Lonchura striata: one gene and its partners. The protein of the gene in region 1 interacts with the protein of each later gene in a pairwise test. Links are inferred from orthologs where the notes say so. Each region holds a gene or a part of one and is shown in the gene's direction. Other genes may lie near its edges.

Region 1 (7,820 bases):
GCTGCCCCCGCCTCGGCAGCGCCCCGGTGCCCGGCCCGGCGCCTCGCCCGCCCCGGAGCGCAGGGCGGCGGCTGGAGGGGGAGCGCCCCAAGGAGCCGGAGCGGCGGCGGCGGCGGCCGCCCTCGGCGCCCGGGACAATGGTGCTGGACAAGGAGGACGGTAGGTGGGAGCGGGGCGCGGGGCCCGCCGCTGCCGCCCGGGCGCCCCGGCGGCGGGCGGGAGGCGCGGACGGGGGTCGGAGGGAGGCAGCGGGGCCGGGAGCTGCCCCGCGCCGCGGCACGGCGCTGCCGCCCGGCCGGTCCCGCGCACAAAGCGGGGCCGGGGGCGCCCGGGACGGCGGCCCCGCCGCAGCCGCGGGTCGCTCTCCGCGGTGGCCGGGCCGGGCCGGGCGGGAGGCGCGGGTGTTCCCCGCGGGGGCACGGCCGCGGCCCCGCTGCGTGCCGCGGCCGGCCGGGGACGGTCTGGCACTGCAGCCCCGGCTCCGGGCCGCCATCAGCGCCGCTGCCCGCGGCGCGGGTCCCCGCCGGGCCAGCTGCGCCGGCTCCCGAGGCCGCGGGTGCCCGAACGCCGCCCCGCGCTCCCGCTGCGGGCAGGGCGGCCCTGCCTGCCTGTGTAAACGGCCACAGAACGCCCCTGTGCCGGGCTGGCGGGGGCTCCAACTCGGAAAAGTGGATGCCGGGCTCAAGAGACAAGTGGGAGATGCTCTCCTTCGCTGTTCCCTTTTTTTTTTTTTTTTTTTTTTTTTTTTTTTTTTTTTTTTTTCCCCTCCCGTCCACTCTACCTCTTCTCCTTCCCCTTCCCCTCGTCTTCTGATCTGGAGTTTCTGCCTCGGAACGGGGAGAGCCTGCCCGCCGCGACACCGCCGAGCGGGACGGGGCACGGAGAGCAGCCCCGGGCCGGCTGGTGCGAGCGGCCGTGCGGGAGGGGCCGGGCGCTGACAGCCGCAAGGTTAAATGCTCGCCGCTCCAGAGAGGTGCGTGGCGAGGGAGCTCGCTGCACGCTCGTCACATGCCTCTGGGCCCTCGGAGAATCCCTCTCCCAGCATCTTTTTTTCCTCCAGTTTCTTGAAGCCCTCTGAAGCAAAGCGATGCAGTGTTATTAATGGGGTCTGGAGTGCTCACATGTGTTGGAGAAGAGGGAATGAACTTATCTAACTGGTCAGTGAGAAGTAACAGTAGAGACTTTCCTCATCCTTCGCCCCCTGTGCACTTAGGTAAAAAGATTAAGCAATGACCGAGGAATTAAACACGGGCAATTTCTTACTGGTGTGTGGAACACGGTTTGTGTTTCTCTCCAACCTCACTTTCAGGGGTAAGCCTGCGTTGCAAGAGTCCCCTGAATTTTGCTTAGCTGCTGGAGGAAAAGGGAGGAAGGGCTCTTAACATCTCTATTAATACCCCTTATTAATAATAACGGGGTGATGTCTTCATCCCGGTGGCTCTCTGTCAGGGGGTGCCTGCCAGCCCGCGTCTGTTTCCGTGTGATTGACAGGCTGCCAGCAGGATGCTGCCTCCATTGCAGGGGCGAGAGGCACAGGTGAGCTGCGAGGAGAGACCGAGATCTGAAGAGGGTTTCCTAATAGGGCTGTTTGGGCTCTTTCAAGTGTCTCAGACGTACTCATTAAACACGAAGAGCTCGGGAATGGCCTGACGGTGCTGTAAGGAAATGAAACTAGAACCCCTGATTATCCAGACAGTTCTCAACAGCCTCCTTCCAGGAGATTTTATGAGTGGCTGTGTGTAAAAGGGAATAATGGTGGTGGGTGGGAGAGGTAAAGAGGAAATTAGTGCGGGATGCACTTAAAAAAGGAGCAAAGTAGGAAACAAACTGATGAGAAGGATGTGAAGATCAGAGCAACAAGGTGCAGTAATGCCTAAGACTCTCCTGTGCTGTTGATGGAGTAGTTACGCTCGAGGAGAAATTATGGTCACTTTTAAAGGTGTCCTGGAGAAATAGGGGATAGAAGGTGAGACTCAGAGGAGAAACTCGTTTTATGAGGAGGTCATTTTACCTTTGTAAGTTTCTTTCTGCCTGAGTCAAATGGGCTCCACTTGCCCGCTCATCTGTGAATGTTGAAAGGGGATGCTGGACCTGCATAGGTTACAAATGGACTAAAATGGAAGCTTTTGCTAACTAAACCAATTCCTTTTGAAATCAAGCTTGAATGAGCTTGTTGATAAAAATGGGTCTGTTTCACTCCCATAAATGGCTCTTTTTCTTTCCTTTTATTTTTCTTTTTCCCAGAAGCCGGTCTGACTTTTACCATCTAAAAATCCCAGCGTTGTGGCTACTATCCAATTCTCCCCTTGATTTAAGAGGCTTTGCCATGTAGAGTTTTTCTTTGAGGGGTTTTCTTCTTTAGAGGTCTCTGGCAGCGGTGGGGGTATTGATAGTTACTACTGCATAGAGGAGCAGGATTTCAGGTTTACCCCTCCCAGAAGTCCTGGTGCATCACAAGGAAGACACTTGCTGCCTTGTAGACATGAGCCCCTTGGTTTTGCATCCCTGAAGGCCACTTGGGAAGCTGGGCCATGGCCACTGGCCTCAGGGGCAGCTGCCCACTCTTTCAGCTTGGCGCCTTAGGGCTGTGTGCCAGCCCCAGTGTGACACCAGGATTGCCCCAGCGGTGCGATAACTGCAGATTTGTGTTTCCACTGCGGGTTTGTGAGCAAAAAGCTTCCTTGGCGAGCACGCTCTGTGGTGCAGAGAAGTAGTAGAGACTCAATAATACTTTTCTGTGGGTCTTCACGAATATCATTGAGGATGAAGGGGCAGACTGAAAAAATAACAACAATAATCATGTTTCTGACTTGATATGTTGTGGCAACACGTCAAGTTATGTCAGGGAGGTAACAGCATTTTGTATGTTTGGAGTGACATAATATAGCTTGACTGATGCAACATGACTTGATATTAGAAAATACTGGTTCACAGTGGAACTCTGGCAGGTATCTTCCCCGAACAAATGTTAGCAACTGAGAGAAGAGGGACGAGAGGGGTGGGGGAGAGAAAGGTTGAGAGAGAAGAACTTCAAGGTTCTCATTTTAGTCAGTTCCACTGTGTAAATCACAGCAGAATTTGCTGTGGGCAAGCCAACCTACGCACCGTGCAGCGCATTTATATATTTCAAGATAATGAGAGTTAAGATATTTCTGAAATACGTAAATGTTTTGATCGCAAAGACCAGATTTCTGCTTAAAAAAGTAAACTGACATCAGGTAGCATGATTAATTCCAACAGATTGTGTTAATTGTAGTTGACTTAAATTGCTGTACAAATGTGTTGGGGGTTAGAAAACTTTTTTTTTAATTGTTGGTGTGTGAAATGAGTAAGCAGATAAAGTGTTTAAAAAAATCTGTTTGCACAGGGAGTAATCCAGCCTCTATGACATGATGGAGCAGTAAAGGAATAAAATGTACATTGATCCGGTACTGCATATTTTTTCATGAGTGCATTATGTCTGCTAGTTTGCTCTGCTGCAGAAGTCATCTGTGACAGACAATAGCTAACTTAATTTTTATCAAAACCTTGCCTTTCTTGTAGTTACTAAATAGTGGAAGTTGAAATGTACCATATACTTTGGGGTAAGTCTGTCCTTTTTGAAGGTGGCAGGATTGAAAAGTACACAGACAGATGGAACATTTTTGGAATTCACCATTTCCTGACAGAGGCCAATAGTATATTGGAAATGGTGAAGTGCCTCAAATCTAAAAAAGGCTGTGGTTTTGTTAGTTTTTGCTCAGATCCTTTTAACTATTAGACTTTAATCTTTGGGATAAAGTCCTCCTCCTTTCTAGCTTGTGACACTTCCTAAAAGAAAGTGATTATTTATGGTGGTTGCACTCTTATGCTAAAATACATATTCAGCACTTGCAAACTAGTATCACTAGGATACAGGAGTTGTTGGAAGCACTAGATGAAAACAGCTCAAAGTGAACCAATACATTTAACATCAAATATTCTCAAGGACTGTTAGGATTAAGTATTGTGAATGAAGGGGGAAGGAAAAGCCACTTCAGCTGGGGATAAGGAATCTAATTAAAAATTGGTATTAAGGATATATAACTTGATCCCGCTATCATGCTCTTTAGAGTACCGTTGTATCAGTTGTAAAGGGGAGGAAGAAGTATCATTAAAGCAGAAATGAAATGTTTTCTCAGATTAAAAGACTGAGATGAGTGAAACGGTGCTGTTGATCTTGGTAGCGAAGTGTCTGATCCCTCAATCCTTGCGAGAGCCATTGGAGACAACAGATGACTTGTCTGAAAACGGAATGAGAGTTGCAGGATGTAGGATAAAAGATGTGGGGCCCCAACTTGTCGCTTTATATCTGAGCATTGATGGCATTTCTGAAAAGGGTTTGTATCGTGTTTGATTAGGTAAATACAATTTAATATCGACCTAGTGAAAATGGAGCTGAGTTCTCCGGAGTACACCCTGAAACTAATACCGACGTGTGAAAACAAACCCAAAATGTTTGTGCGGAAAAATTAGTATCAAGTTTTAGGTCACCAGAGACGCGTGAAACGCAGCTGGGAGCAGCGGGGCTGGCGTAACTCAGCCGCGGAGAGTTGAGAGCCTCTGACCTGCCCGAGCTGCTGCGTGGCGCCAGACACAATCCCCGCTGGCAGGGAGCGGGGCCGGGGCAGGGCCGGAGCATCCCCCGCGCATCCCCGGAGCATCCCCGGAGCATCCCCGGAGCATCCCCCGCGCATCCCCCGCGCATCCCCGGAGCATCCCCCGCGCATCCCCCGCGCATCCCCCGCGCAGCACAAGGCGGCGGCGGCGGCGCAGGTGGCCCCGGCCGGCGGCACCTGGGCGGGGGCCGGGCGGGCTGCAGGTGGTGCTGCTGAGCCGGGAAGCCGCGCTCCGCCAGGAAATCCCGGCAGGAGCTCCGGAGGGGGCCCTGGGAAACGCGTGCATTTATTCATCGCAAGTGTGCAAGGCTCACCAATTGAGAGGCAGAGGCAGCGCTGGTCGGGTTTAGGCATTCTAGCCTCTCCGAATGTAATTTCGGATTTAGAGTCAGCTTAAATCCAAAGGGAAAACACTTTATAAGGCTGAAAGCTGTGTAGTTGCAACTGCCAGGGTTATGAGCTATCAAAGGCAATTACATTAAAATAGATTATACTGTGTAAATTGAGCCATTTAGAAGGTGAGAACCAAAGAAACAGCTCTGATCCCCCTTCTTTCTAAATTGCAGTTTTAGTTCCTTGCAATTCTGAGGCACAAAAGTAGGTGAGACTGCTTTTGTATCTGCAAAGTGCTTTATTTCTGAGTGTAATTCTAACTGAGTGCAATCTAGGTTAAAAGCTGGACAACTGGGTAATTAGAGCTCACTTGCTGCTAAAGGACGATCAGCTGTACCGTAGCTCATTTGTGTTCCCAGAGACTTGCTCTCCTCTCCCCTGAGCGGAGGCTGCTGGAGAAGAAGCATCTGTGCCCGGACTTTTCTTGATTGCGGAGATGATGGTGCTGGACAAGGAGGACGGTAGGTGGGCTGAGATTGTGTAAGCCTGTGCTCGGTCTCTTCTGTGTGCTGCTAATGTAGAAATAAATAGTTTTGAAACAGATGTGCGCTGTGCATTTCAGAGCTTCTGATGTTTTTCTCTTGTGTAGGTGAAAGCATGCTTGCTCTTTATTTTATTTTTTTTTATATCTCATCTCTGACATGATCGGACAGCCAACACGGGTTTACTCCGGGCTCTGTTTGCTGAAGGACATAGCAGAAACAGCTTGATTTTTTTTGTTTTTTTAAATATCTATGTAGATTTTTCTTTCTGCAAGTTATTCTAATATATCCATTTTAGCCTGTTTGTTTTTACAGCTTTTATTGTAAATCTAATTTTGAGATTTTTCTTTCCCTTTCATTTGCATGCCATTTAGGTCTCTTTAATGTGCGCCTTTAATATCTATTTCTCACAGCTTTTCTTCATAGCTATAAACATAATGACAATAAGCTAATAAGCCTCTGTGGCAAAAAAAATAAAAGCGTTGGTTTATTCTAAGAATTTACTTCCTTCTTTTAATAGCAGAAGTGGAGGTTCATTTGGGATGTAATTTCATGAATGAAGCAGAAGGAGAGCTTGACTGATTTTAAGACTTCACATATGCTTATTTTTTTAAGCTGACTAGTCCTTATCAAGGATGCTTAAGGGCAACAAATTGATGTGAGGAATATCAGTGTTAGTTAGCAGCCTGAATGACCTGATGCTATCTTTTGCACGTTGCCTGCCAGGGTGTGCAACTTAACTGCTCAGTCATCAGTAGTTTCTGGGATGAAGCTGGTAAGTTCCATCAAAACTTTTTAATGAGGTCTTTTTTTTTTTTTTTTTTTTTTTTTTTTTTTTTTTTTTTTTGCTGAGGCTGTTTTGTGGCTAAGGTCTTCCCTCATAGCTTGTACACTGAAAGCAAGGATTAAAACTGAGGCAGAGCAGAAGGCTTCTGTGGCCATCCACATGGACTTCCATCCATGGCGCTGCCGCTTCCAAGGACCTCCGCCTTGGTGGCACTTTGTGCGTGGAAAGTGGGAACTGCGTCTTAAATTGTACCAGGCATTTCTACCTGTTATCTCCTTATTTCATTCCACCTGTATAAATGGATAAAGTGGACCATGTAATGGATTTACCCGATCTTTTAAAATTTATTTCAGGAACCTCTTTAAGTGTTAAAAAAATAAGGTCATAGGCTGTTGCCATTCGAAAATAAGGGAAATTACTAAATATTTGTAAGACTGTAGACAAGAAATAGCTTTTTACAAGGAGCACAAGAGCTTGGAGAAATTGGGAGTTGGGCATTTTGTCAGTAGCATTGATTTTATTTGAATATATATATTGCTTTTTAAAATATTTATGAGAAAAATAACTTGTAATTCAAAGTCACTTACTTTCCTGTGTCGGAGTCATGCTAACTGTGTTTTGTGACTAGTACTGAAAGCTGCTGAGTACTATTAAGTTGAAATTATATGATTTTTATTCCACAACCCATATCTCTCTCCTAGTATTTTACAACTGAATTAGTACTGCACTGGAGAATAATTAGGAAGGCTTGACTATTGAAAGACCAGAAGTCTTCTGCTAAAGTTTCTCTTCCCTCTCTCCTTTCCTTGCCTCGCAAAAAAGGGAGTGTTTTAGACCTAGCATTTTGAGTTCTTACCTCATTATAAGTTTGATTTCTGAAATTCTCCCTCTGGCATGTTCACGCATGTAGAATCTGAATCTAGTTTCTGGGATGGTTTTGTTTCATGAAGCATTTGGGACAATGTGGGATTTTCACAAAGACTTGACACCTTTAAAATACAAGACCAAGCAGAAATGCATCATTTTGAGTGGCCCATTGTATGCAGATTCAATCAGATTTGGACTAAGAGTTGACCAATGCGAGATCAAAGTCCCTGTATAAATTGTCATGCCCTTCTGAATTTATTCCATGCTAATTAAGTTGGTATCTCAAAACTGTGAAATAATCTTACTTGTGGGGAGAAAAAAACCTAAATCATGGGCTTTATTTCTGTTAAGAAATTTAAGTTCCTTTGTTAACGCAGTAGTACTTGAACAAAAAAATGAGTAGATGTGGAGCATCTGTTACACATCTTCTAGATCAGCTTTGCAGTTGACTGGCCTGTGGATAAAAGACACGCTAAGTGCTTGAGTATTGCTTATGCTGGGAAAACAAACGAAGCTAACAGGGTTTCAAAGGCTTTGAAGCAGTGTCACTCTCAGAGGTGTTCAGTTGTTTTCTTTGGCAATATAAGTTGAAGCAAGCTAGTTTACTTTATTAGAGGCATAAGGCTACTCTTGTAACCTTCCTCTGACTAAGAT
Region 2 (7,111 bases), on another chromosome or scaffold:
GGCAGCCTTGGCTGCAGTGACCACAAAATTATGGCGTTAGAATTTTTGGATTGAGGAGATCACAAAAATCTCATCCGGACTTTGAGAAGGCAGACTTTGATCTCTTCAGGAATCTGCTTGATAGAATTTCCAGGAAGGATGATGGGCCCAGAAAAGCTGGTTAATAATCAAGGTTAACCTCCTCAAGCTCAGGAGTGATGCATCCCAACAAAGAGGAAGTCAAGCAAAAATGCTGAAAGGTCTGTGTGCATGAACAAGGAACTCCTGGACAAATTTAAACATAAGATCTGGGTTTCCAGGTTCCTTGATAGTTCCTTGGATATTTTACATGGGTTTTGTGATTCTTCATGTAGTGTTGTTTATAGTAAAGGGTCTAGAAAGTCCTAATGGAATATTATTTTTTTAAGGTGATTGCTTCCTCTTCAGTAGAGCTTTTAAAAGAAAATGAAATTATTAGACTCCAGTTGAACAGATCCTTATTAAAATAGGAGCTGGTCTGATAATGACTTAAATTGGTGCTACGTGGCCATCACATGTTATTTGATAAGCATTCCATTTTAATTAAGAAGTGGCTAATAGACAATTAATATACAGGATTACACACTTAGCTAATTAGATGATTTAAATTTTTTTGTTAGATTAAAATGTACAGGACCCCATAAATCACTGTTAGAGATTGCTTAATAAGCCTGAACCCTTAATTTTCTCCCTGTCAATCAAGAATGGAGCCACTGATTTTCCCTCTCACCCAAAGACTTGTCACATGGAAGACCTGCTCTGTGTTCAGAATGAGCTGAAATGCCCCCAACTCCCAAACACTGCACCTGTTTGCAGAACCTCAGAGCTCAGGTGCAGTCAGCAGAGACCTGATCAGAGCAGTGGTGAGGGCTGGAGCATCACTTGGCTGACAAGTCGCTGAGGGCTCAAGTCTGTTTCCCGAGCACTCGTGCCTGCTGCTGTTTGGGGTTTGTGGCTATCAGAGATCAGGGACAGCGTGTCCCTGCTGGCAGACCTGCCTCTCCGGGTGCCCCAGGGAGGCCCTTGGGATACCCCATGCTCACACGTGGCACACTGAGGTGACTGTCCCCTTCCAAATTGTCCCTATGTACAGGAAGGCTCCTCCAGGGGCAATGCCAGCTCTGCCCCTCTCCCTCAGAACAGAAACCAAGTGCATCACTGATCCTTGCTTCTAGCATTAACTCAGCAGTGAACAATGGGCTCTTTCAGCCTGTGGAGTGCTCCGTAAATTGTGATCTGTTCAGACAGAACTAGGAGAGTGACATGGTAATTGGGCTGGTTTTTGTTAGCAAGGCTCACAGAGGCACAACACACTGGAACAGAGTTGAGAGGAAATGGCTTAGAGTTGACCAAGAGATTGCACATGGGTTTTGATGATTTTTTTTTCTAAATATTCATAGCTAAAGTACAAAGCAAGCAAAGTGAGAATGAGATCAAAGGTGGAACAACACAAAGCCTGACATGTCTGTAAGATGTCACTTACTAGCAATAGTAAAATGTTTTGCTTCACCCTGTGAAACATGTGTATTACAATCAGGGGATAAATAAGAGTGGTGTGTAGGGCTTCTTTGCTGTCATGCTTTCATGTTCAAGGCGCTTCACAAAGAAGAACTAAATTCTCTTGACAGCTTACATCAGAAAGTCAGCATCTCAAACTCATTGAGAACCTGAGGAAATGATGACTTACCCAATGTCTAAAATAAAATTAGGATCAGAGGGAAGATATGAAAGTAGATATTTCCACCTTTCATTTCAGCTCTCAGCTGACCCAGTGCTGACAGGAGAATGCAGGGTTGGTGATTTGCACAACACTGGATGTTGTGAGGGTTACACTGAGACGCACTAGCAGCAGCACTCTGATAGTGTCCCTGGAAGGACAATTAGTCCAAACAGGGAATGACATAGGTGTGTCACTCAAGCCATTTATTTGTCTTTAAAAAAAACTGATCTGGAGTTTTTCATTATTGATTTTCACACCGCTGACTGTCTGTTCCTGGGCAGAATACAATGCTGAGATATTATCAGACATTTCACTCCCTCAGAAACTGAGAAAACATAATTTTTACTCCCTGCCCAGCTGTTGAGGTCAGGAGATGATTCAAGAGCACTCAGATATGCAAGAGTCTTTTTAGTGACTAGGTGGGATTCACATCCAGGCTTAATGCCCTGGAGAACAGTGGATGAATGTGTGGTGAGACCAGCCTGCACTGGATTGAACAGAGGCTGGTATTTCAAAAGCACAGATGTGTTTGGCACGGTAGAAAGTGGCAGCAGATGCTTTTGGTTCTATAAAATAAAGATTTGGGAATATAGCATGAATTTTTCTACACAACATTCCCCCCCGCCCCCTGCCCCTTGCCCCCAATATTATTTACACTTTAGACACTTTGCCAGATCTTCTAACCCAAAAGCAAAGGATGGAAAGGGCTGACATTTACTGCTGGTATATGCCTCTATCTAATAAAAAGGAGACTGGTATGGGGTTTTCAGGGCCCTTCTTGCAAAATCTTCATGGCAGCAGTTCATACCTTGCTCTTCCCCCTGGCTTTTAACCCATCACTGGATGGTGACCTCTAGTACCCCAGCACGGAGCATGGAGAATATTATATGAGTGTGTTTGGGATCACACATCCTTCCCACTGAATCCTTTCTAGAACCAGACAGTCTCCAAGAAGGACAGCAAAGGTCAGCTGAGCAGCCTGGTATAAGGTGTGCAGGTAGGATGGAGAAAAAAGGCTTTGGTTCCAAATAATATTTAATTCTTTGTGTAGTGAAACATCTTTGAGAAATTGAGTGGTCTGAAGCTGTGGACAAAACACTCTGCTGGCAGGTTAGCTCAAACCCTTCTCACAGAGCAGGGGTTACTTTTCTCTTGGCAGGAAGTGGAACACACTCAGCATTATTTCTGCCTTTGTAATCTTGTGAATGACATCTCAGTCCTTTTGAGAGCCTAACTCAGAAATCAGTGTAGCTGCTATAAAAAATTCTGCTGTGAGCTGTTGCAGCATTTCCAATTCTGATGTGTGCATAAACACATCTGATGATATTCACTAAATTTGATCCAAATGTATTGGCATTTGAATTCATAATTTTCAGTAAAAAATTAACTTGGCAGAGGAACTTTACAAAACTTTAAGGAAAATACTGCATGAGAAAAGCAAAGGTACGCTCAATATCAAGTTAGTTCTCCATGGTTCTGGATTAAGCAGCTGCACTTCTTTCTATTAATTATGTTTCTAGTCAGCTCTTGGACCTTAAAATGTTCATCAAAGGTCACTTTCACAGTCCACAGCCACAGTTCTTCAGAAATTCAAATTGGATATTTCATCCAATCTCCTCCTGAAAAGTGTCTGCACTGGGTAGAACTCTTAAATTCCCATATGATGGCAGGCCAAGCACAAATAGCCCATATAAAATATTTTCTCTTCTGAGGACATTTTCTGTTTTCCTGTGCGGGATCCTGGAGCTCAAATAAAGAAGGATACTCCCTGGGGAGTTGCCATAGTAACCTGTGATGTGGTTTTGTTGTCTAAGATTACATATAAGCAAGGGAGCAATTACAGAGAAGAATTTTATACCTGAGTTTATAATTTTCATATAACACCAAAGCTGAACTATACCTTCAAGTTCCTAAAGCAGCAGCAGTCTCCTTGAGGGTGATGTCAACTTAGTAATTTTCACTGAAAGAGAATTTAAATGCTGTATTTATTATTCAAGAATCCTGATTACAAAAAAAAAAAAAAAAAAAAAAAAAAAAAAAAAAAAAAAAAATCCATTTCTGGAAGATGTAGCAAATAAGAAAGACTTCATTAGAAATGTAAAGATGTGGAAGTGGAAATGGCTGCTACAAATAATATCTAAACCTGCATGTGCGAATGTCTTCTATATTCTATTTTCTTCTTACTTGGATTCAGCTATAATCTGCTCTTAAACTTATAGTCAAAGAAAAACTTCATGTTGTCCTTGGAAAATAACTTCAAATCCCACAGCACATGCAAGGACGAGATTTTTGAATGTATCTATATCAGTTCAGCAACAAACAGAATTTGAAGTTTCAGAATAAAAGCAAAATTTGTTTTAAGAGGGTGTGATGGAGAAAGAATCCGTCCAAACTATTCTCAGTTACGAGCATCAAAGGGAGATCGGGAAGTCTGGGTTCAGGAAAGGGCATGGGAGCCGAGCTAGCAGAAAGGTCATTTCCATGAGAAGCAGCCCAGAAGAGCAACGCTGGGAGAAGCCCAAGCCAGTCTTGTGAGAACAGCGTGAAGTGAGCTGTGCAAGGAGGGCGTGCAGGAGCTCCCATCCCCTGGAGGCTCCTGGGGCAGGTGGCTCCCATCAGTGCCCGGTGCCCGGCCGGGGAGGCGCTGGACACGCCGGCAGCAGCGGGAGCTCAGCGCGGCTGCGGCGCTCGGCCCCGCGGAGAGGGAGCGCCGCGCCCACAGGTGAGCGTGTGCGGCTCCTAGTGCCCCGCTCCCAAATGCCCAGCCTGCCTTGGCGTGGCGGGGCTGCCCCGCAGCTGGCTGCCTTGCTCATCCGCCCAGCTGCCCAGCATTTCCTGGGATTATTCAGAGATGGGGGGAAAAAATATATATGGGAGGCACTGAGATCTTGAAGGGTCCCTAAAGCTTGGGTCGATGTCTCCCTGGCAGTGCAAAAGAGCTGACAGAGCCACTGTCAATTTAATTGTCCCCCAGATAATGTCGTATATATTATACATTTCTGTTTATCCTGAAAATGTGCAATCTAAACACTTTCTCTGTAAGTGACTTTAAGAACTGTAGCTGTTTGTCCATGATAGGCATGTGGGTCCAGGCTTCTGATGCTGGATGTGTTCTGCATCTTCCCTGGTTAATTAGAGGTCTGTTCCCTCTGTGGCTGACTTGCCCTCTGCCCCTTCACCCCTCACCAGGCCCAAATTTTTTAGGGCTTTTGGGGGAAAAAATGGGACTGGGCACCTCAGTGGAATGGGATGTGTTGGAAAGGCTGCAGGGGAAGGGTGTAAGGGAGGGAGCAATGCATGGCTCTGGACATAGTGTAAGTGGGAAACAAAAGTCCAAAACAGAGTTTTTGGGAAATACCTTTTTAGCAGAAGAATGATGTTATGAAAACACAAGTCTGACATGAGATAAAGCAGCAGATGATATGGAAGACAGCCCTGAAATTCAGACAGTAAACAGATTGCAATAAAATCAAACGTAAATGCACAGAGACCTATATTGCAATAACCCTCTCCTAAATGAAGGAATTTTGGATTTTAAATGACACAGTAATTTTATGAGTGGTTGGACAAATTTGGGAAGGGGGTACAGGATGCATCTCTGGATGTTTGCTCTAACAAGTATCTTGGAGGAGCCTGGACATGCAGTGCTGTTTGATGAAATGACAGGGAAAAGGGAGAGCAACAGGAAAGGGCAACAATAGGACAGGAGGTGCACACTGGGATGACAGAGCTGGAGGCTATAAGGGGCTCATGTGTGGTGGTCACCCTCTGCTTAATGCTTGGGGTAGAAACATGAGGGCAAGATTCACGAAGGTAAAACTTTCATCACAGACAGAAAGGCAGAACTGGGCTTTCCAAGGGACAGCAGGGAATCTGCAGGACCTCAGCAGGAGGAGAGGAATACACCTGAGTGAAATCTGACAAGTAGCTTTATTTTTTTTTTCACCTAGAAAAAGGAACATTTGTGCTATTAGAAACTCTGTGCAGAAACCCTGAAAGTTCCAGCAATTTGGTTATAAAAAATAGTTCAACCTCAGATCAAATAACTTCATCATGAAAATCACATAAATTTAATATTTTTTTTTTAATTTAGATGCAGAAAACAAGCTTTTCTTTAGCACAAAACAATAATTTTTGATTGTCTGGTTGGTTGTTGTTTTTTTTTTCCCCCCACATAAAAGACTGAAATCCTTAATTTGCCCCAGTTCACTCATGGTTAAAAGATAGTTTAAACTGCAATATTTTGGGTAGAGGAAAGGAGGGGAAAGTATTCAACAGTTAAGTCTGAGGTTTCTGTGTCTGAAATGAGAAGCATTAGAGGTTTGGCCCTACAATATGGATTTTAGAGATGAGTTTTCTGATGATGTGAAAAAGAGGCAGATGGACTGTAGGAAAAAGATAAGCAATCACCATTGCAGGGCTAGAAAGCAAGAAAAATAACAGAACTATCAAAGAATATAAAGAGTAAGAGTGACAGGAAAAATGAGAATGAAAGGTGGAGAATTATCTATGGGTTGTGACAGTTTTTGGACCATGGTGAAGGGAGCTTGTAAAAAACCAAGCGAAGAACAACAAATCTCTGATGTCCCAAAGCTTTGGTTTGTGCATATTGTGGAATTTAAGATCAAAAAGCAAAACTGTCACTGCATTTTTGTGGCATCCTGTTAGCACAGGCTACTCAGCATTAGCAATAAAAAACTCTCAAGGCCAGATTTTTTCTATGAACCTTTAAAAATGCTTTATTTTAAAAAGGTTTTTTGAGCCTCATAACAATTTTTAATGTGTTTGTGCATCAGTCATTTGGGAGCAGGCTATTCTGAGGCAGAAAATAGTCTTGCATTTTGCTCCCTTACAGGTCTGTAAAAATGAGGTAGAGAGATAAAGGGGAAGTGCATGCTTTAATAAGAAAGACTTTAGTACTGCCATTGTGCTGCTTTATCTACCAATGCCATTTTTCTCAGCTTCTATCAGCTAGGTATCTGATGGATTCCTTACCTTTCAGCATCAAAGGGGCAACATGGTTAACTGTGAGAACTGATTTATTCACTTGTTCTGTCACTTGTGTAGTTTAATTCTGATTTGGAATTTTGGCAGTAAATCTGCACATTTGTGTTCCCTGTTCTTTCAGTCCTAATCAAGCTTCTGCAGCCCCACTGTGTCACCTGCTCCTTGACAGTGGTCAGTGGCCTCTTATAGAAGCCCTGGAAAAAGCTTTTTTCCACAGTCCTCTTCAATTTGCTAAAGAAGGGCAATATCTGCCTTTGATCAGAGGAGCCAGAGCATGCAGCACACAGAGCCTGAGACAGACTGCATCACCCCTCTGGTGAAGCCAAGGGGTGAGACGTTTGTGTTTATTGATGGAAAATGGGTGAA
Region 3 (7,183 bases), on another chromosome or scaffold:
TGAGAACATACTTTAAACCACTTAGGATTTATTTTTTTTAAGTTCACAATTGGTTTATGTTTTTAAATGTCTTGTGAACTTGAGATAAGGACAGTGGTTAGAACTCCAATGTCTCTGGAACAGGAGAGAAGTTAATTCTGTGCTTGCATATGCAGATCTATCTATAAGGCAGGCTGACCACAGCTCAGATTGTCAAATATTTTTCTTATAGAGATCCTGTTTTGTTACAAGTGTGCCAGAATGTAATTATTTGGGATGAAATTTCACATCATGAGTTTCTGCCTCCAGCTGAACTGATCATAATTTTGTCTTTTCAAGAAGAATTAAGATAAGGAATTGCTAATTTAAAACAATCACACAAACTCCTTACTAGTAGCCATCTTTTGAGAAGCTTTATCATGTCCATGATTCTGACAGCAAGGAGTCTTTTGTTGACAAGAAGGAATTCCTCCTAAATTTGGCTGATTGAGTTCTGAAAATCTGTATGTGCATGTGTGCACATATTTTATGGAATCATGGAAGGGTTTGGGTTGGAAAGAACCTTAAAGATCTGGTTCCAACCACCCTACCATGGGCAGGGACACCTTCTACTAGACCAGGTGGCTCAGACATCCATCCCCCTTGCCCTTTAACTCTTCTTGGGATAGAACACTGACAGTTTTTTACACTTGCACACTTTTCCTCAAATCACTACTGCTAACCTAACTGCAGAATTTATCTATATTAAAAATAACACTACTCACACTACTTTTTTCCTCATCAGGTTTTAATCTGTACCTGATCCCTGTCTAGGCAGCTGCTCAAACTGCCCTCAGAGATATTTGTTACCATGACAGCACTTCTGGGTGACGCTGAGGAAGTTACTCCAGCTGGACTTCTTTCCTCTGATCAGTAACTGAGCATTTTTTTTTTTCTGAGTAAACTGAGGTTCAGGTTGTGATTTCTTTTTATTTAAAGAAGTTCTCAGAGAAGTGAATAAACACACACAGAAATTTAGTTGAAAAACTGTGTCCTAGATGTCTTCAGCTGGATACTCAAGAGGATGAGAACAGACATCCAGTCTGTAGGGATTAACGTGTCCAGTGAATGGGAGATGATACTGCAAAAAGAGATCTTGTTTGAGTAATTACAGAAAATAATAATGCCTCAGCCACAAACGGTGAAAATAACAGACACAACTTTTATCCTGTTGTTTTTGTGGGGTTTGTTTGTTTGGGGTTTTTTTCTGAGAGGAGTAGTGGTTTTCCTTTTTAACTTGAGGTTGTTATTCTCATGGAATTAACATCTTGTCCACATTTTTGATTGTGTGATAAGAAAATAAATTGCACTCAAATAATTAATACTTATCTAATTTAGCACAACTTTAACAAATAGGTGATGAGTAGAGGATTCAGAAGTGTTTGCTATAAACTGATACCGCATTTGGAGGGATAAATCATCTCTTGGTGAGAGACGGTGCTTCTGTGGTATCCTATGTGTGCCAATCCTAGGTATTAAATTATTTTTTCTCTTCCATGGTCTTAATTACTATAGGATTCTCTGCCTTTCCCTAAAGTCAAGGAATTTGGGAAAGTGGCCTCCAAGAACAGAATTTTAAATTAAATCTGCAATCCCAATCAAAAGTGGGGGTTTCTCTTCTTCACTGGCATGACTGATAGGACCTGATGAAATACATAATAGTTTTTACTCAGGGAAAGATTGGGATTACATATTTCCTTCAAGGCCCACCAGCAGAATTTTCTGATTTTTGTAATGAAAGTTTTCTGCTGCACAGATTTGGACCTGAGTCCAGGAATTATACCACTAAATCAAAAGCCTGATGCACTCATATTTCAACTCTAAAGTCATCAGGCCCTGACTGTGATTAATTGGAATGGATAGGCTCTCATGCCTCTGAATTAATGCTCCTACACAACTACATGGGACTATGTGAAGGGCAAGATGCAGTAACCTTCAATATGAGGAGCAGCAGCGTGGCCCTCAGTGGTGTGTTCACTTTGTGTACTTGTTGTGTAGCACTGTTTTCCTGCAGTCTCTAAAAGAAAAGATGATGACTATTTCTTGCAAAGTACTTTGGAAAATACCAAGTATCAGTTAAAAAAAAAAAAAATTAACTTGCTTCCATGGGACACAAAGCATTAGATGGGTCTAATGCTCACTTATTAAGTGGGAGAGGTTCTGGTGGAAACATAGTGACCTAACGGGCTGATTTGGGATGGCAATGCCAATGCTTTTTGACACATCTATTGTTCCAGACTTAAATAAGCAAGCTCACATTCTGGAGTAATGTTATAGAATTAACAAGTGAACTAATGTTCACTCTGAGTCTCAGAAACTGTTTAATAGAATGAAGCCTGTCAATTAGTATTTAAGCCTGTCATTAGGATTTAAGTGCATGGCAAATTAAGTTTATGTACCTTTAATAAATGACAGGAGATTAGATTATTAGATGGTTTCCTCAAACATTTGGGAAAGATCACTTTTCAGGAAAGATCACTTATGAGTGTAAGACAGAACCATTCAGAGAAGCCTGTAGGAAATCTGCAAAATCCAATGAATCAGCTGTGCTGAGCAGCAGTGGGCATTGTGCCTGGTGGGAAAACCTGTGACACAGCTACGCTCCTCCCAGTACTCAAATTCAGATAGGCAGTACTGTGTAGACATGCACGGCCTCCCATTCTCCCTCTAAAACTGCCTCCCATTCTTCTGCCTTCACCGGAGCTGCTGCCTTCATGTTACTTTCCCCAAACTAACCATGAACGTGGCTCACTAGAAGGGCAGATAGCACAAGATAAGCACTAGATCACTACATCACTAGATAAGCAGATGGCAAGAGCTAAGTTGCATTTTGGAATGCCCTATCACCACAGCAGACATATTTATATTGTGAACTGCAGCACAGAGGTCTCTGAATTAAGCTTGGAAAGGCAATTTGGAATTTGAAACAATACAGCCGTGTCAAGGAATCATCTGATAAGCTTTTCTCGGGCTTGTCTCTGGGTTTTTTTTCCTGGATCTGGGTCTTTTGCAGGGAGTTTCTGGCGCATCGGTTCTCTCTCTGCCTGCTCCCACCCCTGCATTTGAGTTAACAGAAAAGGCGGAAGGCAGGGGGCAAAACAGATCAGGAGAGCACTATCCAAGCTTCACAGTTTAGGAGGGTTTTTCTGGATAATTTAAGCCGGACTGTTTCATTGATCTTATGTATAGTCTCATTAGCACAAGGGCACAAGGATCAAACACTTGAAAATTTCTTTACAACCAGAGAAAACATGCCACGGGATTGCTCGGCCATTGAAGTCCTCTGCTTCAGTTAATTAGCGCTGCAGAAAGGCTCAGCTAATTAGCATGGGTGTAGAGTTGCCCTGACACAGTTACTTCGCTCGCAGAGCCTGAGCCGATGCCTCGGGCACGGCGGTGCAGCGCAGAGCCCGGCGGGGAGCGGGGACGCGAGGGAAGCAGGAGGCTCCACACGCATCCCCACACCTTGGCCCGCTCGCCGCGCCCCGCCGGCGGCCAGACCTGCTCTCCTCCGGCGGGGAGAGGCGATCGGGCGGGCTGTGCCACCCGCTGCGGGCTGTGGCGACACTTCGCACCTCCTGTGCCGGCCCCGCTCTGCCCCAGGCGATGGCACGAGGGACACGCGGTTCCTCGTCGCCTGGCAGGGTCCGCCAGCCGGCGGTGTGCCCAGCTGGTGTCAGCCTCTGGAGCCGGCCCCCAGAGCTGCTTGTGCCGCGCTGCCAGCGGGCACAGCCGGGAGGAGCTGCGGGCAGGGAGGGACCCGGGCGGGACCGCGGCCGCCACGGCCGTGCGGAACAGGTGACGGCGGGGCAGTCCCCGCCAGGGCTGCCGCGGGGCGAGGGAAGGAGGCGAGGGAACAGCTCCAGCCCCGCCATCCGCGGTGACCCCGCTCCCGTTCCCCCTGCGGAAGGGCGGAAAGCGCCGAAGGGCTTCCAGCGGAGCCGGGCTTGGGCAGCGGCGGGGCGGGCCGGGAGCTGGGCCGGGCCCGGCCGCTCGCTCCCTCCGCTAGGGGGCGGGCGCGGGCGGCGGGCGCTCCTCGGCGCCCCGCCCCGCCCCGCCCTGCCCGCCCAGCCCAGGAGCCGGAGCCGGAGCCGGCGGCGGGAGCGGCTCCGCGGTGCCCGCTCCGCACCTGCTCTCCTCGGTCCGCACGGTGGCGGCGGCCGCGACGGCCGTGACGGCCTTCTGCGCCCCCTGGGGCAGCGGGGTGGCGGCGGCGGCGCGGGGCGGCGCGGCAGGTACCGGGCGAGGCGGCGGGAGCGGCGCGGGGCGCGGGGAAAGTTGGCGCCGCCGGGGCGCCTCCGGGAGGCGGGGGCGGCGGTGCCGCCGGGGCCGCCCCCGCGCCTCCTCCTCTTTCTCCTCCTCCTCCTCCTCCTGCACCTCGGCGGGGCGGTGAGTGCCCGGCCGGGCGGCTGGCCCCGCGCCGGTGCTTGGCTGTCCGCCGGCCCCGCGGGAGAGCGGGGGCGAGCGCTGCTCCCGGCGGCTGGCGCAGGGGAAAGCGAGCGGGAAGGTGCGCGGCCGTGCCGGGCTGGGTGTCAGCTCCCCCCCGACCGAGCCGTGCCGAGCCGAGCCGTGCCCTCGGGGGGCGGCGCTGCTCCGCTCCGCGCGTCCCTCCGTTTTCTGTTCCGCTCCGCGCCTTGTGTGTCTAGCACCGGCCACCGGAGGAGGGCACGGGGAGCGTCCCGTCCCGTCCCCGGGCTTTCCCCCCGCTCGCCTTTGCTGCCTGTTAATATAGGGCGAGTTTGGCTTCTTCTCTATTCCCGGCTTTTTTCCCCCACATCGTTGGCGGAGCACCCGTTTTCAGAGTATTCTCGAGCCCCGAGTGCCTCGGGCGTGTTTAGGAGAGAGACGAGCGCTGCGGGCGCAGAGCAGCCCTGCCCGTGCCCCCGACCGGACGGGTCTGCCGGGGGATAAGAATCCCAAAGCCCGGAGATACAGTACCACGACTAGTTAGCAGCAGCTGCCCCACCACAAAGGCTGCCGGTGCTCCACAGCGGTTACTTTTCAGCGTTTTGGGTGCTGACTTGCCCTGTGGAGATACAAAAATATCCAATATATCTAAGAAATATATAATATATCCATGTATGTCAAGTGTGACGACTATTTGCCTCATTGGTGTTACGGAACAGATGAAACAGCAGTAAAATTGGATACTTCTTTTAATATAGAATTCTCATTCATCTTGCAGCACTTCTTGTTTCCTCTCTTGAATGAACTTATCCAAAGTAATTAGCCAGTCTCTCCTTCTGTTGCTCCTTGCTTTCCTCTCTTTCAAAGATACAGTTGGGATTTTTTTGTCCTCCCTGCTAGGATGATCGCTTCCCTTGTGGTGCTCTTCAGCCTATCACAAATTGCTACTGCTCTAATACCTATGTAACAGAAAGCAGAACAAGTTAGTTCTTTAATGCTATTGAATATTGGTACTGCTACTCTGTTAGTCACAAACTGTCTTTCTAGTAGAAATACATATATTACTGAAGTATTAATTTTGCAGAGCATTGCATTGAAGGATTATTTATAAAATAATGAATGTAGATGTGTGGAATACTTACTCAGCTTTGGAGGGCAGCTGCACTCTCACTTGTTTAGAAACAAAATTTTTCTGAAACTAGTTGTACAAGAAGCAAGTTGTCCCTATTACCTGAGTGGGTTTGATCATAAGGGAAACAGTCAACAAACAGAACTGTGGGGAAGAAGAGTCTCCTCAGTCACCTCAGTTACTTATCTAAAAAGGCTTGCTTGCCAGTGCAACACAAATGCTAAATTTTTATGATGGTGATATTCTCTGGTATTGTCCTGTGGCAAAAATGTCTTGATAGGTTGGTGACAAATACTTAATACATTTTTGTTCTCTAGTTCATAAGAAAAAATGTAATACTCCACATAATTCTAAGTACACTTAATAGAACAGCCCTCATTTGAAGGACCAACTTGTGATGATAAGATCAATTTTGTTTCATTAAGCACCCTAATATTGCTGGCAGTGGATTCTTGGAAGAATTCTTTAACACTTGTCATCTCTCTCTCTGACTTAATAAGCATTTCTAATCCTTCCACATCAACTTTTTACGTATTCTAAGATGGGGACAGTTCATTATTTTAAGACATAAATTTAAGTAATATCACAGTTACATGCTGTACTTTGCAATACTTAACTCTCCACCTTCATGCTTTCAAAATATTTTCAGTACAAATTAAGATGCTGATAAAACTATTAAGTGATATGCTATTAAATTGCAAAGCTCCATAACTGCTTCTTAATTCATCATTTTGTATTATTGGTGTAATATACTTAAAGCAGAAGCAACAGAAAAGTAGTAATAAAAAAGCTAGCGGTAGTATAATTTTCTTCTTGAAGATGAAGATTATCTTGATTATCTTCTATGTTCATGAGTTACCATGTAATAAAGCATGTTTTCATCCAATCCAGGAGTCTAAAATATCAGCTGATTTCTAAAGATCTTGGGTGGACTGTTTTTTTAGTAGTCAGTATTATAGCAGAGACAGTTGTGCATAGTTTTCTAAGCTTGACCTACTTTTTACACTGATGGGTAAATGATAGCTTTACATAGGCACTGAAGGAGTAATCTTACATAGGTATAACACCGAAAGTCTTATGCACAGAAGTCATTAATGTTAAAATTCTCCAAGGTGGACTAAATACCGGTACAGTGAGCAGTTCTTCTGTTTTGTCACTTCATTCACAAATAATATTTGCCATGCTGGCATCTATGCATAGGGGTATTTGTTCATTAAAACTCAACCAGTTAAAAGTAAAGTGTAGTTAAGTGGCGATGAGGACCACAGTTACCAATCTCTTTGTTCTAAATGTGATAAATGTTAATTGTTAGTTTTATAGAAGCCTTGTGGTGTGGGTTTGATTTTAATTGTTGGGTTTCTTTTTCTTTGTTTGTTTGTTTGACTGAGAAACACATTCTCTAAGCTTCATGACTATGAACTTGAGAATTGATTTCTGTCAGGGGCAACACTGCTCATCTAGTGAAAAGTTTGCAAGGAAAATGAGAGAGCAACATTTTTCAGTTGCTTTCCCAAAACTACAGCTTTGAGTATATTAAGCAAAAAATATTTATTTTGCTTCCTCCTTGTATTTGTTGGTGTTTGCATCATTGGGTTCTCTTCTGGCTACATATGCATAGCAGTTCAGTGT
Region 4 (6,967 bases), on another chromosome or scaffold:
TGTACATTTTCTTCTTTCTCAGTGGCTATTTATCCGAATTTTTCAGTTTTTCCACTTTCTGATGTGCTAGCAGACTTTGTGATGTGTCCTGACAATTTCTAAAAAGCAAGCTAAAAGTCAGTATGAAATTATTTTTAGAAGGGTTTCAAGATTCCCTCAAACCACTTAACTTGCCTTTTCTCCATCTTGCAATTGCAGTTGAACTTCTTATGAGAAAGTAATTTCATCAGAAAGTCTATACTTAACTGTCTATATTCTAGTAATATATATATTATCCATATAATCCAGTATAGGACAAGGATACCATACTACAAAATTACTATAACAGTAAGTTGTTTTTTTTCTCCTCTTTGGACATCACTCTGTTTCTCCCCAGTCATCTGGGAGCAGGAGCTCAGTATTTGCAGAAAACATAAAATGAAGGTAATGGGGAAGAAGGTACCTGAGCACAAAATGTATTGGGGTAAGAGTAATTGTAAACTAGGTTAAGTAAAAGAAGAGTTCATGTCAGAACCATTCAGGGGAGAGATCTCGATTTCCTTTCTTCCTTCCATTTCCTCTCCCCTTTTGAGCCCTTCCTTTTCCTCAGTTATCTTAGTTTTCTCTCCCACACTTTTCTTTTTTTCCTCCTTTTAATAGGGTTCTTTCTGCTTCTTCCTCATCTAGCCCATGTCTTCTTCTATAATTCCTGATGTTGATGGTGGCTGCTCTGATTTATAATCATATTAGCTGACAGCCAGCAAACCAGGAGCCCCAGTGTGCTAGGAATAATACCAGCTTGGGGGGTAGTATGTGATCATTGTCCTGAAAAAGCTCAGATGAGAAGTGATATGTGAATGGGGTACATACATGTGAACAGACAAAGGAAGGACATGGTGGAAGAAGGACAGTTGTGGAGTGGAGCTGAGTTGGTAAAAGGATAAGAGCTTAGACCTGAATGGTGCTTAACGTGCAAAGTATTGTATTCCTGTTCTAACTGAAATGCTCGAGATTTATACTTCTTTTAATAAAAGGTGGTCTTAATTTTCTTCCAGATGTGTCTTCTGTGTGGCTTCACTCTGTAAACTTCTCCCAGGGCCAGGCATGAGGGGTAGCAATAGAAATAAGGGAAGCAAAGCATGAGCTGGGACAGAAGGAACAGCATTTATGGATGGGTAGTGGTGCATCAAGGGGAAAATGAAACACCAAGAAGAGGGGCCCTACAGAATGTGACTACAGAAATGAAGCATGTTTTAAACAAAACAGTAAAAGTAAAAAAAATCTGTGGGGAAAAAAGCTCAAATATACATATATATATATAAGTATATATATATATATATACACACACATATACATATACATATATGTATGTTTCAGCAGCATGAGGGCTGTTGTTGACTGTGAGACATGTGGGGTCTTTGTTTTTCATCCTTTTGCCAGAGTTGACTAAATGTGTCAACTTGGGCAAGCTCCTAAGCCTGCCTGCATCTCAGTTTCCTTATTTGAGGCCAAATTCTCTTACTAAGTAGCCTCCTACTCCACACAGAGATTTGCTGATTTGAATGGAGCCCCTGCAGAGTGAGATACTTTTCAATACAAATAAAGTTTTGGAATCGGCCCTAATTATATTTATTACCTGCAGAGGAGTAATGTGATACTTAACATGGTTTGAGACCCTCAGATGAAAGAGAAAGTGTTTGGAATTGTTCTTTTTAATAATCTGCTGCCTTTTCAAAGTCTACTTCATGGCTGTCCTAAAAGGGGTAGCCACTAAAAAACTAATGAAAAATCCGTGTAGATATTAACAAGTTTGTCAGGCTCCCATGAATGGACCCTCTGTGGAAAATCTGATTTGCTGGGGGCTACCGAAGGGAGGCGGCTTGCCTTGCCCTACGGTGAGGAGCCCCATTAGATCTCGCTCATGCCACAAGTGGACGGATTGTGCTCGCCATGGTGGTGGAGGAAGGCAGGCTCTGCACATCCTCCGCTGTGCCTCGGCAAAGCTGGCTGCGTCGCTCGCTCCGTGCCGCGGTCGGGCCGGGCGCTCCCGGCGCTGATGCGGACAAGTTGGGAGTGGGCTTGCTCCCGGTGATTAAAGCCAGCAGCCCCTACTGATATCCCAGCTGATAATGCCTTTATACCAGCGCTGGACTGACTGGCCTCTGCACGAGCCTGCTGGCTTCTAACATATGCACCGGGAGTGAAAAGCACCAAATTAAACAGCGTAGCTGTTGGATATTAAAAATAATAAGCTTTTCTATTTGGCATTTTTCTTAAGCCAACGGGCATGAAAATGTTGAAAGTTTTATGGATGCTCCGTGCAAATACGTGTATGTATTTCAAAAAGGAAACTTGCTGTCTCCGTGCCACTCGGAGGCAGGGATGAGAGGGGTGGCAATGGACCTAATCAAACTGTTCGGGGGTCAAAACCACGTGGGTTTTAAAGGCCCTTAATGTTGTCCAGCTGCAGATTAAAGCGGTGAGGAGAGAGAAAAGAATTAGGGCAGGGGAAAGACTGGGGTATAGATACGTGGTCCTGTGTGGGTGTGTGCGCACGTGTGTGCGAAAGAACAGGGCGCCCGATTTTTCCTTTTTTTTTTTTTTTTTTTTTTCCTTTCCCCTCCCGCCCCTTACTGCGAGTTCAGTGCCAAGCCGGACCCGGGCCGCGCAGACTATTGAGGCTTTGTGTGCTCCGCCGGCAAAGTAGCCCCCGGCTAATCCCCGCGGCTCGGACGGGAATTTCCCCGCGGCGCTCTCCCGGCCGCTGCCCCCGGTCCCCGCTGGGGCGGATCGGGAGCGCCCCGCCCGCCGCACGGAGAGGGATGCGGCTGTGCCCGGGCGAGGCGGGGGCTGTCCCCGCGTGTCCGAGGCCCGTTACCTGCCTGCCTTCCTCGCCTGGCAGATTGTTATCTGGATAATTGGAAGTGCGGCGGAGGTTGAGCTCCGCCAGCCAGCCCAGGGGCTCTGCAGCCGCGCCTCGTCCACCTTGTTATCAGGGATTGTCTGGGCAGGGGAAATGAGAGGGAGTCACGACCGAGGGACTTCTACTGCTCGCCCGGAGAGTAGCGGGGGGAAAAGGGGGGGTGTGATTAAACAGAAAACGAGAAAAGCCCTAACAGATGAACAGAAAGTTTATTTTTGTTGTTGTTTGAACATCCGTGTGTGCGCGCCCGCTGTTTTGGCATGTGGCTACCTTTTCCCTTGCACACAACAGGGCTATTTGATGGAGTTTGGAGCTGAGGAAACTTTGGGTTTGTTGCCGGGACGGTTCGCAGCACTTTGTGGAAAGCAAGAGCTAACAGTGAGACCGACAGAGTGAGTGACAAGTTGTTTACAGGTTTCCTTGAAGGGGCCTCTGCTATATTTCAATCTGTCAAAGTTGCTTTTCTTCCTTCAGAACAATGCCTGATTGTTGTGCGGGTGATTTTTTTTTTTTTCCCCTACCCAAAGAGAGAGAGAAAGAGGGTAAGCGAGAGACCGGGAAGGGTGGGGGAAAAGGAATGAAAATTCTTTGGAGCACAAATGCCTTTGGTAACATTTTTATGTGTTTAATCTCTTCTCCTCTATTTCAACTCCGAGAGTTGATAACTGTCTCAATTTAATCAGTCTGCTCTTGTTTTATCTTCTTTCTCCACTGATCTTCCTCAGCGTAGGGGATTTGCTCCTGGTTTGCCGGTTTAGGTGGATTGTCGGACTGCTTTTTCTTTTTCCCCTCCTCTCCCCCGCCCCCCCCCGTCCCCCCCCCCCCCCCCCCCCTTATCCCCTCCACCCCTCCACGTTTTTTGTTTTTTTTAGGACATTGAAGGAGTTGACTTTTCCCGTTTGGCGGCGGCGGGCGAGCAGAATTAAAAGAAAAGGACAGGCCCCCGGAGGTCGCGCAGCGCGGCGGGGGGAGCTGCGCGCTCATCGTGCTGCGAGCGCGCTGCCCCTTTAAGAGACTGGTCAAGGAGTCCTCGCTCAGAGCGAGCGAGCCGGGAGGGAGGGAGAGGGAGGGAGGGAGAGAGAGAGAGCGAGCGAGAGAGAAAATCAATCGGTTTAGAAGGTTTGGACTCACTTGACAGGTTCAGTTGGAGGCGACCATAGGTGGCTGCTGTGACAAAGGGAAATTGTGCTTTTCCAGCATGCTAACTGACCCTGATTTACCTCAGGAGTTTGAAAGGTGAGTCGAGTTGTTGGGGCGGGGGTGTATGTATGTGTGTGGGGGTGTCTCTTCCCCGTGTTTTCTTTCCCGTTCTGTTTCGTGCTTTGTTATTGCATTATTATTTCCATTTTTTTTTTTTTTTTTAATTTATCCGAGCACGCCCGTTGGCGCACGTGTGCGCGGATGGGCAGCGGGCACACGGACACGCGGGGACGGGCGCGCAACTCGGGCGCTCGGCGGCAGGAGGCCGGGCAGAGAGGCGCTCCCCCCGCGCCCATCCGCGTCCCTCCGCGCTCCCTCGCCGCCCCGGCGCCGTGTCACTGACCGGGGTGGCGGGCGCCGCCGAGCCCCCGGCCCCGGGCGGAGCGCCCGCGGCGCGCAGCTTTGTTCCGGGGCCGCAGAGGCTGCCGTGCCCTCCTGCCGCACACCCTCCGCTAGCCCAGCCGGGCGGCCGAGCCACCTTCCTGGGCACAACCTCCCCTCTCCTGCCCGGGGACTTCCCGCAGAGCGGTCGGAGGATGCCCGGTGGCGGCCAGGCTCCCGGGCATCTTCTAACTTCCAGCCTCAGGCTCCCGTCAAACTTGGGAAGGCGCTCTGCCGAGCACATGACCTTTTGTTGATCTAGCAGGAGCTATTATTTTTAGGCAAGTTAACATCCCAGCCCTCCGTCAGGAGAACATCTTTCTGCGTGAGGAGAGAGAGGTGGGAAAAATAACCCAAAGGGAAAAAGAAAGGGAAAAAGTGAAACTCTTGCCTCCAAGTTTTGGCCGTCGCCTCTCTCGCGGAGTGTCAAGAGCCGGGTCTGGGTATGACGAGCGGGCTTCGGGTATGACGTAGATGTGCCCGTCTCCCCCTGCCCGAAGCAGCAGCCTTCCCTGCTTGGAATCAAGTTTTTGCTGTCATTGCTGGTGGCTTGTGACCTCCGAGAGTTCAGTCCTTATTTCATATGATCTGCTTCTCCTGAGATGTTTGGAAGCGTTTTCTCAGGTGCTTGTACGTCCGTGCGTTCATGGTCCTGCATCCCTCCCCTCCGGCTTCTCTTTTAAAGGTTAATAGCCCCATGTGCGGCTGCAGTAAACAGTCCAAACTTTCATTTCTAAGCAGTAAACGAAAGAATGCCAGGATGCGTGTTACTGAGGTTTTTCTTGTCTTCGTGAGGTTTTTCTTGTCTTCTCCTGTATAAACATTTGGTTGTATCTGACTATGCAATACAAGCTAGGTGCTAGACCAGCTGGTTAAAAATATGCTAAGTCAAGCTGTTCATCGTTCAAACCTACTGAATTTGATAGTAAAGGCATAGAAAAGAAGGCAAGATAAAAACATTTAAGTGGGCTGAGGAACATACATGCAAAGGAAGGACAGGAAAGAACACTTGAATTAAAAGATCGGAGAAAATTAAAATTTGGAAATGCAGAAAAGAACTATTTTAACACTTGCAATCCTTGTTCTGAAACTAGAATGCTTCCTTACTAGAAAGTGAAATTGGCTAGGTTGCTCTACTCCAAGGTCATCTTTAATGCAATTAATTTTTCAGACTTGGAATACTTGGCATTTTCCTTCGGTTTCTTAGCATTACAATAATAGGACAAAATTGGTTTTGTTCACGTGTACTGTATTAACTTAGTTCAACTACCTGAGGAAACTGTTACTGTTTCTGATGTCAAATTTGATCTGGCATCATGCTCATGCATTTGTTGTTTTCATGCAATCGATAGATTCAAGTATTTCATGTGCCTCACTAAGTTTACACATAGAAATTTATAAGCGAGTGATTTTGATTATTCTCTGAACTTTGTGATGAACACAGTGCTTGTAAACTCTCTGAAGCAGAAAGAAGCCCTTTCATTTTCCTGCTGGGGACTTTTTTCTTAGCTGAAGTCTCTCTGCATTATAAATATAGATATTTGTATAAATTTTATATATAAACAAGTCATTTGGGGCAACCATCATCCTTAGAATGAGCTTCTCTACTCCCTTCTTTTTTCTTTTTTTTTTTTTTGCCCCTAGGCATAGGTTTCATTTTCAGAGATCCAGCTTTGCTCTTGTAAACATTCTAGTTAAATAATCAATACACTGCTCTCCTTTTGCCATGCAGATAACAGCAAGCAGTAGAAATGGGAAGCAATAAAAAACGAACCTCAGGACGTGCAATTTTTTTGAAATTTTTTTTTGAACAATTTTTTTTCTGCAGTTGAAATTGGGGATAGAGACCAGTATCTTTGTTAATCATTACCATTTGTTTACCTTGCGTGTGTTTGACTATAGTCACACACACACACACACATTCGGAGACCCAGGCAGTGTCCATGTAACGTGTGTGTGTTTGTCAGGGAACAGCCACGAGGACATACTTCCTTCTGCACAGACAGGGATCCTCAGACCCACAAATGCCTGTGGAGCTGGCGTGTGTGCGTGTGTGCACGATGCACAGATCATTGTTTTCTAGGTGTTTATGGTAGGTTCTTTTCCTTGGATTCTCAGTCAGCACAGTTCTTGGAGCACATTTCTGCAGTCGCTTGGGGTTCAGCTTGTCATACCAGCGTGTCCCACTTCAGTCCTGTTACTATTACCCGTCTCCCACTGTTTGTTTTTAAACTTGAACAGCAACCGACAAGGAGGTAAAGATTTGTCAGGCAAAGTTGTTTGCAGCTCAGAGCATCCGTGTGTCTCTCAGGAGGTCGTTTCTCTTTGCCCATTGTCTTTCCTGTGAGGTTTTGGTGTGTCTCAGTAAGCTGCAAACACTTCAGAAACTTTCAGTCACCCCAGCTGAAGAGAGCTGAATTCAGGGGGCTTCTCTTCTGTGTCTGTGGCCATTAGCAGGGGGAATTTGCGGTACGCACTTAGAAT

The links.
Region 2: the proteins of LMO1 (region 1) and CBY2 interact in binary tests that used the Homo sapiens proteins (3 or more experiments, as listed by UniProt). The two-hybrid records come from large-scale screens. The link is inferred for Lonchura striata from reciprocal best matches to the Homo sapiens genes LMO1 and CBY2.
Region 3: the proteins of LMO1 (region 1) and PTPN3 interact in binary tests that used the Homo sapiens proteins (3 or more experiments, as listed by UniProt). The two-hybrid records come from large-scale screens. The link is inferred for Lonchura striata from reciprocal best matches to the Homo sapiens genes LMO1 and PTPN3.
Region 4: the proteins of LMO1 (region 1) and SOX5 interact in binary tests that used the Homo sapiens proteins (3 or more experiments, as listed by UniProt). The two-hybrid records come from large-scale screens. The link is inferred for Lonchura striata from reciprocal best matches to the Homo sapiens genes LMO1 and SOX5.

Annotation. Positions count from the first base shown.
Region 1 is NC_134608.1:50,786,191-50,794,010, reverse strand, and holds the start of LMO1 (rhombotin-1), read left to right. Parts: upstream 1-4,815; 5' UTR 4,816-5,466; coding exon of another isoform or gene 5,467-5,491; 5' UTR 5,492-5,572; coding exon 5,573-5,615; intron 5,616-7,820. UniProt on the Homo sapiens protein: May be involved in gene regulation within neural lineage cells potentially by direct DNA binding or by binding to other transcription factors.
Region 2 is NC_134604.1:61,118,282-61,125,392, forward strand, and holds the start of CBY2 (protein chibby homolog 2), read left to right. Parts: upstream 1-4,108; coding exon 4,109-4,269; intron 4,270-4,343; coding exon 4,344-4,460; intron 4,461-6,982; coding exon 6,983-7,111.
Region 3 is NC_134603.1:65,418,645-65,425,827, forward strand, and holds the start of PTPN3 (tyrosine-protein phosphatase non-receptor type 3), read left to right. Parts: upstream 1-4,172; 5' UTR 4,173-4,253; intron 4,254-7,183.
Region 4 is NC_134607.1:14,597,609-14,604,575, reverse strand, and holds the start of SOX5 (transcription factor SOX-5), read left to right. Parts: upstream 1-3,956; 5' UTR 3,957-4,100; coding exon 4,101-4,138; intron 4,139-6,967.